Linked DNA regions of Drosophila melanogaster. The protein of the gene in region 2 purifies or fractionates together with the protein of the main gene of each other region. This does not show direct contact. Each region holds a gene or a part of one and is shown on either strand. Other genes may lie near its edges.

What was found. The genes of interacting proteins can lie anywhere in the genome.
Region 1: the proteins of apt (region 2) and bru1 purify together in Drosophila melanogaster (affinity purification with western blotting, with the first as the bait; one study listed by BioGRID). This does not show direct contact.

What each region holds. Positions count from the first base shown.
Region 1 is NT_033779.5:12,204,132-12,208,842, forward strand, and holds the start of bru1 (bruno 1), read left to right. Parts: upstream 1-1,711; 5' UTR 1,712-1,999; intron 2,000-3,577; exon of another isoform or gene 3,578-4,084; coding exon of another isoform or gene 4,085-4,711. Other genes in the region: CG31759 (uncharacterized protein), read left to right, coding at 4,085-4,711.
Region 2 is NT_033778.4:23,595,061-23,600,225, reverse strand, and holds apt (apontic), read right to left. Parts: upstream 3,635-5,165; 5' UTR 3,479-3,634; coding exon 3,428-3,478; intron 3,335-3,427; coding exon 3,229-3,334; intron 3,167-3,228; coding exon 2,906-3,166; intron 2,843-2,905; coding exon 2,596-2,842; intron 2,534-2,595; coding exon 1,699-2,533; 3' UTR 700-1,698; downstream 1-699. Other genes in the region: CG42559 (uncharacterized protein), read left to right, coding at 1-168; CG42560 (uncharacterized protein), read left to right, coding at 276-346, 406-469, 532-678.

The sequences.
Region 1 (4,711 bases), on a different chromosome or scaffold from region 2:
CTCTCCCGGCAAAAGTTAAATTATAAAATCGTCAAAAGTTGACGAAGACATTTTGCGCCTATGAAAACAAATACACGAGGAAAGTGCTCCACTAAAAAATAGGAGGGAAATGCGGGAGCAGGAGCCACTTAAGATGCTTAGCGCCATGGCAAGCGAAAATAATGACGCTCATAAAAACTAACTAAACACCAAAATAAAGCAAATATATATAGGTATATATATATATACATATATTTGTTGGGCTGGCTTTTTTAAGCTGGAACGACGCTCTCTGAATGACAACGATAATGATGTGCGATAATGTTTGTTGTTTCTTCGTTTGCTTATTTATTGTACTTATTCGTTTATTGTACTTTTTCATCCCACAGTGCTGGAAACAATGATAATGATAATAATGAAGATGTTATTGTGTTTCTCCTCTTTGTTGTTGTGCAATCTAAGACAACTGTCAAAGACTTTGCCAAAGGATTAGTCGACTCGGCGCCTTTCGCCCTGCTATACCCTGTAAAAGTTGCGCTAAGGATATATTACACATGGAGTAATTTGGATCAAATATGGGTTACCAATTTTTTTTTTTAATTTTTAATTTTTTTTAATATCATGTTGCATTTACGATAAAGAAATTTGCAACTGAGAGATTTTTTTTTGATTAATGACAAAAGGACATTTCAAGAAAAGCCTTTTTGAAATCGATTTAAAATTTAATTCATTTGTAAATGGTACTATAAAGAAGTTTTAAGTTAGGGATATATTAGGATATTAGGGATATTATCATATTAGGGTTTTGGAAATTGAAATATGAGGAGAAAATATATAATATAATAATATATAAGTAACATAATCTTTATAAAATTTGTTAACGTTTATAGTAGTATTTATTTTGGAAATTTTAAATCTACAACCATATAGCAATGATTTCAAACAATTCATGTAAATATTCTTCGAAATATTCATGCAAATTTGAAAGAAAGACTCCATGTAATCATCAAAAAGTAGCTTCCTACATTTTCTATAAACAACACAATAAGATACGGGGTATTCTCGCAGTCGCAACGAGTTTGTGTATCTCGTGACTGGTGTCTTTGCTCCTTGCCATTACTTTCGACCTGCTCCTATCGCAGTCGTAATTAAAATTGCACCAGACGTAGTGAAGTTTTGTACTTTCTTCGGCATCAGATAGTCCTGGAAGCCTCCCCTTCAATTTAATCGCTTTGACTGCATGCTGGTTGTAATTTATTTATTGCCGAAAATCGTACCCTCTACTCTTGATTTGCCCCTGCCGCCGCTCGTTGTATTTTTTAATTGATTAGAAACTCGAGTTTTGTTTTCTTTCTTTGCCTTCAATTGGCATCGAGCCAGGAAATTTTCAGCCTCATTGAATTTCTTTCGGTTTTTTTTCCACTCACCCTCTTGACTTTCTTTCTCGACTCGCCAATTTTAGCAAATTACTTTCTTGGCAAAACTTTTATATTTGTTGATTCATTTATTGCTAATGTCAAACGTTCGACTTGGTGAGCTGAACGACTGATATGAATCAGTGATAGCAATCAATTATGGTATCCAATTCATTTGCTTTTTTTTAAATTTAATTTAGTTTTATTTTAGCAAAGTTCATAAAAAATAAAAAATGAACAGCGAGAGCTTTGCATCCCAGTTGGCTGCGCTAACGCTTGTCAAATCGATTCAATATAGATTTTTAGTTGTAGTGTTTCCAAATCAGATTGTGTAACGTACATATAATTTTATAAAAGTTTATCAATTTTTCGGCTTATTGGTGGCAAAATTCTCAATGTGTTAACCTTTCGGCCGTACCGCGTCACTCTTCCATGCTTTTATCAATAATTCTTAAGAAGAAAATCTACAAAAAAATATACAAAGTATTTACCCCCACAAGACTACAAATGAAATAGCCCAGTTATCCGCTTTCGGCTACAAATTCTACAAGTGTAAAAAGGAAAATAAGAAGAAATATAGCAAATTCCCGCAGCAAGTGAAATAGGTGAGTGCAAGAAAGTTCTTCAAGTGTTCAGACCAAAAGCGGATATTCTAGTTGTCCTTGAGTGTGAATGGAAAGTGGGTTGGTGTGCTGTGAACTCGTCCTGTGTGCTGTGTGTGTGTGAGTGGGTGTGTGCGACACGGTGCTTGGGCTTCCACGCTGCATGACAGATTATCGCAAGGACCTTGCCGTCCTTTGAGTGTCCTCGACGGTTATTGAAATTGCTGCAATTGAGTTCGGAGTGCTCGAAGCTATTTAATTGCTGCCGCCTGCCTCCAAGAACTTGCTTTTCACCACTTCTGTCGAAGATGAGCTAACTATTTTGCTGATTTTTGGTGGATTTTAATCTTTATATCTCAGAAATATACTATCGAATATAATCATCTATACTTAATTTCAATATAAATGCTGGTAAATTTTTGAAAAGTGTATATAATATTGCTTAAAAAATGTTCAATATGTAAAACTCTTAAATGACTTATAGTTAGTTTCTAGTCCTTGTTCCATCCACTGTGTCTAATCGAAGCTTTTTGGCCATCTCTGGTTCGGGTCAATAGGAAAGGAGTAGGGAACAGAAGGAGCAGCTAAAAGTCCTCTTCTTTTTCCCGCAGGTGTTGTAAGCCAGCAACGAGTCCTGGAACTGAGCCAAAGCTGCTTTCTCTCAAGTGCTAACTAATTTCGTTGTTGTCCTTACCGCCTCTGCTCCACATCTCGGGCCCAAGGATGCTCTCTGCATCCTCGGGCTTAGCCTCATTCCCTGGCTCATCCTCATCATCGGCGTCTTCCTGCAGTTTCGTTTTTGGTGTCAGCAACATTTCTTCAACTGGTTTCGTTTGCCCTGCCAGTCAGGTTGTTGTCCTTTTTGGTCCTCTGTGTCCTTTATAGAGTTCTATGCGATTTTTCTCTTGTTTTTGATTTTTATTTTTTCATTTGCTCCTTCGTAGTGCAATCTTTTTGGCAAACTCTTGTGTGGCGCACAGTTGTTGACTCTGTTTCGGGGCCAAGCCAATTCCTTTTTGGCCTGGCCAAGTCATCTCTTGGCTTGTTTCGGCGTTTTATGCACTTGTGTGCTCCATACCTTTGGTCCACCCCTTTGCCAAATACGCTCTACACATATGATCTGGCTTCTGTTTCGAATTTTTATGGCCGTCGTCTCAGTTGTCCTTTCTTAACTTGGCCGAAAGTTGAGTTTCCTTCGTTGGGGCAAGATGTCTCATTTGGATCGTAACACTTAGCTTAATGTTTACGACGTTTGCCGTGAAAATAGTTTTCAACTGAAGTGAAATAGGAGGTTTTATAGTTTTGTTCGGGTGTATATTTTGCGAATAATAATGTTCCTCCTAATGACCACAAAAAAGGAATAAACGTTTCCTATATAGAAATTTTTTTTCTATTTCATAGAAAAAATCTTCTATTCTTCGATATGTTCAATTTCAGATCATAGCAACTCTTCATATATTTATCAGCTTTATAATTTTATGAAAAAAAGTAATATTTAAGTGAAATCTTTTTGCTTTCAAGATTTGAAATTAAATAAAGCTTTTATTAAAAGCTTTTGCGTCAAAGCTTCAACGTTGCTAATGGCAGAAGCTCTCTCAAGATCAGCTGTTTCTCAATGCCGAGCATGTGGTTGGTTTCGTTGTGAATGCCAAAAACAACAGCTGATCGCGCGGCGTGGCAGAGCGAAAAAGTAAAAATCTCTCTTCGTTTTTATCGAAATCGGCGCAGTTTCGCCTAATTTCTGCGGTGTTTTCGTGCAACACGACTGTTTGCCGATTGTAAATAGGTGTAAAACAACTTAAATGTGATTAATTTTGCAACTAAATCTGGACAAGTGAGTTGTTACGACATCGGTGCACCAAGTAAAGTTGTCTAACCCAAAATTTTCCCAGATAAAACGGCGAAAAACAAGTCAACTAAGAGAAGTTCTCTTCTTCAACGCCGATCTTCGCTCCAACATTTGCAACATTGATGGGGTTTTTTTTGTTTAAAAACATAGTTCGCAATTCTGATAAATTATTCGGAAATAAAACTCCAACTAGAGTTTCGCTATTGTCCAGATTTTGTGGCACTTCCTTGGCTGGTAAAATGGAGAAGGTTTATTTGAGAAATGCAAGTGATACCAAAGAATTGGACATTGTGTTTCGCTTTGTGAATGAGAATTTGAAAATAAACCGGGAATTCAATTTCCGTCGCCAGATGAATGAGCCCATTGATGCGATATTGGCCAGGATTCAGAGTAATATTATTGGCAGGCTTGCAAAGTCCTGCAAAAAATCAAAAATCAAACCGCCGGCAGAAATCAATGTTAAACTTCTGAGTGACAAATATGGTGAAAAATTCAATGAATTAACATTTGAGGATCTAGTCGTCACCCAAGATATCAGCAATGTAAAACTGCAGGTATTAGATACGGTCTACGATTTGGTGTTCAATCCACCGTGGATTTCATCCCTAAAATTTTTGCCCTCATGCATATTGGCAGGATTTGTAATATACCCCACCAATGTTCAGATACAATTCGGAGAACGTCAGTTCAGCAAAGCAGTTTGGTTCAAGGCCAAAAAGCCCACAGACACCGATTGGGAGGTGTGCGGAGAAGGATTTCAATATCTAGTGACTCCTGAGGATATTGGTTACCATTTGAAGTTCGTGGTGACGCCGGGTAATGCACTGGGAATGACGGGTCCTGTGGTGGAGAAGATAACCAACTCT
Region 2 (5,165 bases):
AACAGGGTTAAAGAAATCGCCAATGATATCGTCAAATTGAAAGAGGAGATCAAGATTTTGGAATCCAAAACTAGCCACAAATCAAGGAAACACAAGGAGAATCTGCTAAAGGAATTGAAAGCTCTGAAGGATTTGTTGGAGCAATTCAAAAAGAGTCTCGAAAAATGACCTATCAAACGGTAGGCTATCACTTTTAAGTTTGTCAATATTCCACCTTGAAATACCTCATCAGTTACTATAGTAAATTCCAAATTATCTTCCTCCGTAAGGATACAATGCTGAAGTTGGTCGAAAAGCTTTTCCAACTGTTGCGACCCAGGATGTGTCAGTTTTCACAATCCAACAAGTGAGTTCCGTGTTCTGAGCACTTATGGCTTCGCTTATTAGATGCATCTCTGTATCCAGGAACATATCCAAGCATTTGTTCGAAAAAGCCAGGGCGGAGGAGAACATACATTTCCTTAAACTGGTTGGTTTGTGATCTCAAAAAACGAAAGTAATCTATTTAAATTTAATTGCAAATTTACCCAGCAACGGGAACAGCTGAAGTCGTTGCGAGAAAAGATTCTCAGCCAGAAGAACGAAGTCACAACAAAGATCATCAAGGTGGATAAGCAGATACAATCGTTGGAAAAAACCAAGACCGAAGGCTCACAGATGAACCATGAACAAAATTAATAAAGTGTAGCTGAAACATTTGCTTGTTTTGTTTTGTATTTTATTTAAAATAATTTGTATCTCTCATTTACACGCTTTACAAAGAAGTCTTCTACGACAACTGAAGCCGAGTTGGCGGCCTTCTTCAAGCCTGCTTATACGTAGGGTACATACATATCATATATTATATATGGTAACAATTTGTTTTGCAGCGCAAACGGAAAATATGAATTAAAAAGAACTTTCATGTAATATGGCATTGAAACAAACATATATAGGGTCATATATATATCAACATAGTCTATACAAAGATACAAATAAATACAAGTTCAAGTAAGAATCAAAATCAGAGACAACTGCCGATTGTGTATGATGCATTGACATATATAAGGTTCTTCTCTTAGGACTATGAAAAATAATCTTGTGTGCATTTCATGTTCGTTCAAATCGTTAGTTGTGGGGTAGCAGAGGTCAAGAACGTAAGTACAATACATTTGTGGTAGTTGAGCAACTTGGAGAGAGTGGTTCCCATACGAACTAAAACTAGAAACTAACTAAACTTGACTTGACTTGGTCAAGTGCTGGTTAGGCCAGAAGAGAGTGTGTCTGTGTGTGTGTGTCTGCTAGCTGAGTGTGTGCATATTGTGTGTGTGTGTGTGTGTGTGCTTGTGAGGTAGGCGATTCATCATCATCATCGTCATCATCATCATAAGATTATGGCATACTTCCGAGCGCCTCCTGATCCTCGCTGGGGTTCTTGGGTTCGGTTCTGTGTGTCGGGTTTCGCTTCTAGCTTTCAAATACTGATCAACAATGCCAGGAATGTCTCTCTGTGTGTCGGGTCTGGATGTGTAGCTGTGGATCCTGCTTTCAACTTAAGACTAACTCTAGTGCTAACTCTAGTCGATTCCCAATCACGCTCTCTGCCTGCGAACGTGACCGAGTTGACAGGCTTTATTTCTATAAACTAATGTAACATGAAACGGCGATGGGCTGCTGCTGCTGTTGCTGCTGCTGCTCCTTTTGCTGCTGCACTGCCTCCTAACTGGGCAGTCGCTTGCTGGCCAGCTCCAACTGCAGCTTCTGCAGCGCCAGTGTCTTGTTGATCTCCACTAGGTCGCGACTGTGCTTTGCCGCCTGCAACTGCACCTCCAGGATCTTCATGCGCATCATGTGCTCCTTGCTCTGCATCTCCATGAACATGCGCAGCTCAAAGTTGTTGTTGTTGCTGCTGCTGCTGTTGGCATTGGTGCTGACTGCCGTTCCCGGCATGGTCAATCCATTGCTGCTGCCGGACCGCTCTAGGGCCTGCGAGTCCGAGGATGCTGGCACTGATGGGGCCAGGACTGGTGCCTGATCCTCGCTGCCCAACATGCTACCACTGCTGGTGCGCTGTCTCTTAGACTGCGGCTTCATGCTGTCCTCGTCGTCCTCGTTGTTGTTGTTATTGTTGTTGTTGTTATTGTGCTGGTGATGCATGGCGACCTGGGCCTGTGCCTGGTGCTGGTGAATGGCGGCCGCTGCCGCTGCTGCTGCACTGGGAAATTGGCCAGAACGGAGGGCATTCAGTGCCTCCAGCGTGGCGGATATGTTGTTCATGTTGAAGTTGGCCTGGAAGCCGGACATGTCACCTCCTCCGGCCATATAGGCACCGCTCGAGTCCAGGACATTAGATGTGGAAATCGTGGCGGGACTCTCGGCCTCGTGGATCCCGTTGCGACTGATGCTGTGATTAGGCGACACACTGAGACGCTCGCCGCTGCCAAGGATGTCGCTCTGGTTGAGGTGGTGATGGTTGAAGGTCTCGTTGAAGGTCTCGTTGTTCTCCTCCTCCTTGATGTCCACATCGCACAGTTCCTGCGGCGGTGTGCGGCTGCTGCTCAAATAGAGAATGCTCAATAAAGATCTATTCAGACTACCACATAGCGATCAACTTACTCATCCATGTCGTGGTCTTCGGGATTGAATTTGTAATCCTCACGATACTCAAAACCCTCCTCCAAGGCCAGTGGAATCTTAGAGTAATCAATGCCATCCAGGGCCTCCGATTTGCATGCCTTCTTCGCCTCCTGCATGAAATCCCACACCTCGAAGGTGAACGGAGATGGCTTCTTGCGATCGGCCACCTCTGCTCCAAACCTGGCCAGGCGATTATTGTAGTCCAGGATCTCGTTGCGAGTACATGCTAAAGGATGAGATCGAAAAGGTTAGCTTTGCCATTAAATATATGTATTTTATAAAGACTTACCCTTCATGCGACGCCACTGTTCCTTCAGGCGATTGCAGGTGCGATCGGTGCCAAACTGATTGGAGAACTTCTGGTGGATAATCTTCCATGCCTTGTTCTTCACGGCGGTCAGACCGGCATCCAATCTCTTGTTCTCGATAATGCGCATGTCCTTGCGACACAGATCGAGTAGGTATTTCTTCTCCTGGTGGTTCCAGTTCTGGGTGCGTTCCCTCTTCTTGTACATGTTCATGGAAGGACTGTTCATGTACTGTGTCATTTCTGCAAGCATTCGATGATTGAATTAAGTTCCTTCAACGGTCACTTCGTTTTGTTTAACTTACCCGTCTTTATGTCGACGCCCTCCAGCAAGTTGTGATTGGAATTTTGCCAGTTGGCGGCAATCTTCATAAAAGCCTCCAGATCGGTGGCCGAATACTGTTTGTTGACCTGCAACGGAAGCAAGAAGCGAGTGGCAGGAGGTGAGAAATCAGTGATTCGTATTGGGAGGTAACTAGTAACTGGCAAGAGTCCCCAAATTACCCGCACAGTGGAATTAGAAGCCCCAGATTGGCCTTCCCAGTAGTTGAGCATACAAAACTTGTGCCAAATTCCGCACCAAACGAAAGCGATTCGCGGGACGCACTCGAAAACCCAATGAACTTGGCGATGAATACTGCCAAAGTCGAAAGCAATCGAAAAATTTGGAGTTTTTCGGTAATTATCAGAGTGTTACTTGGGGCACATCAATTGGGTTTTTGTTTTCAGACAGTAAGGTCAGTGAAAACAAAAGGATTCTGATTCGGATTCTGAATCTGAGTCGTTGAGTCTTGAATTCCTTCTCTTGTTTTCATTCCCTTATTCCATCGAATTTACCCTACCCTGGATGATATCTGACTTTGACATGAGCAGCTATAGGATGCAGTCACATTAATTGATTTTCAATTAGCAGACAGGCGGACAGATGAACCGAGCGGAGAAGGGGGGGAAGGAGGTGTGAGCGATATCGGGGGTATATGGGTACGAATGGGCTAAAAAGAATGTGAATATACGAACAATCGAATGAATTGAGCAGCCATAAGACGAAAAAAAAAAAAGTAAAAAACCATCAAATAATAATGCCATGAAACGCGTTTTAATTTATAAGCTAACACAACAAGCAGCTGCCGACATTTTGTTTGTTTCGAAAATGTATCTGTGCGGTTGCTCGGTATCCGAATCCGAGTATTGGTGCGATTGAGTGGAGCGATCAAGAGACATACTGACAGCCAATTATATCTAATCAAGTACATATATATTCAAATGTACTATATAAATATTCCAGAATGTGCATTTACTCAACGCGTTCTTCGGTCGCTTTCTGGCTCCTTCGATTGTTCCCCCGTCTCGAAATCAGACACAAAAATTCCCTCATAATTTAGTAATAAAAGAATATTAACTAAATTGGGAAGAGCATAGAATTATCAATAACCCTTTGCAGACAACACGAATGCCCAAATCCAAAAAAGAGCTCAACTGTACTTGCCATATATTGTCTTCATCGAAACTCTTTCATTGATCGCTCCCCCAAAAAACACAATCGTCAATCTTAAGTACGTTTTATGGTGCTTTATTTTATTTCAATTTTGTTCAGTTCCTTCCGTGCCCCTCAACTACCCCACCCCCACCCCCCCTGCAGCCATCGAACACCCACAACTCTTGGGTGTATAAACTACTGCGCCATGTGTTCAATATTTATGCCGTATCTGATTTACAATTTATACTTATACTCGGCACTCGTATGTGTACCTCGTACACTCGAACTACGTATCTAGATACATACGTATATATGTACATTCGCATTTATCGCGTACTCGAAGACTGAAAGGAGACTTAGTCATTGGAGACGCGGCGCGTGCGCTTATTATTTTTTATTATTTGAGCTCTTCCTATATACATATATAAACTCATATTTATTAGCAAACAATTAATTATTACGGCCGACTATTATGGAGCTGTTTAAATTTTAGTCATGAGCTGCGGGGTGGTTAAACCGCTCCTTTTGGGAAGATACACGCAGAGAAAACGATATGCTGATTTGAGAAATCAATAGATTCTTCAATGGGAGGTTCTCGTACTTTCAAGCCCATGAGATGCCAGAGTTTCTGTCAGTGCATTCAAGGAATGCCAGAATCATTTAAATTCGAGGCGAGTGCCAATTATTCGCCAGGGTGGGGCTCCAGCCAAGTTAGTCAAAGATGAAGTTCGAAGATGCCAACTGTGAAATTCTGTGCCCGAAAGA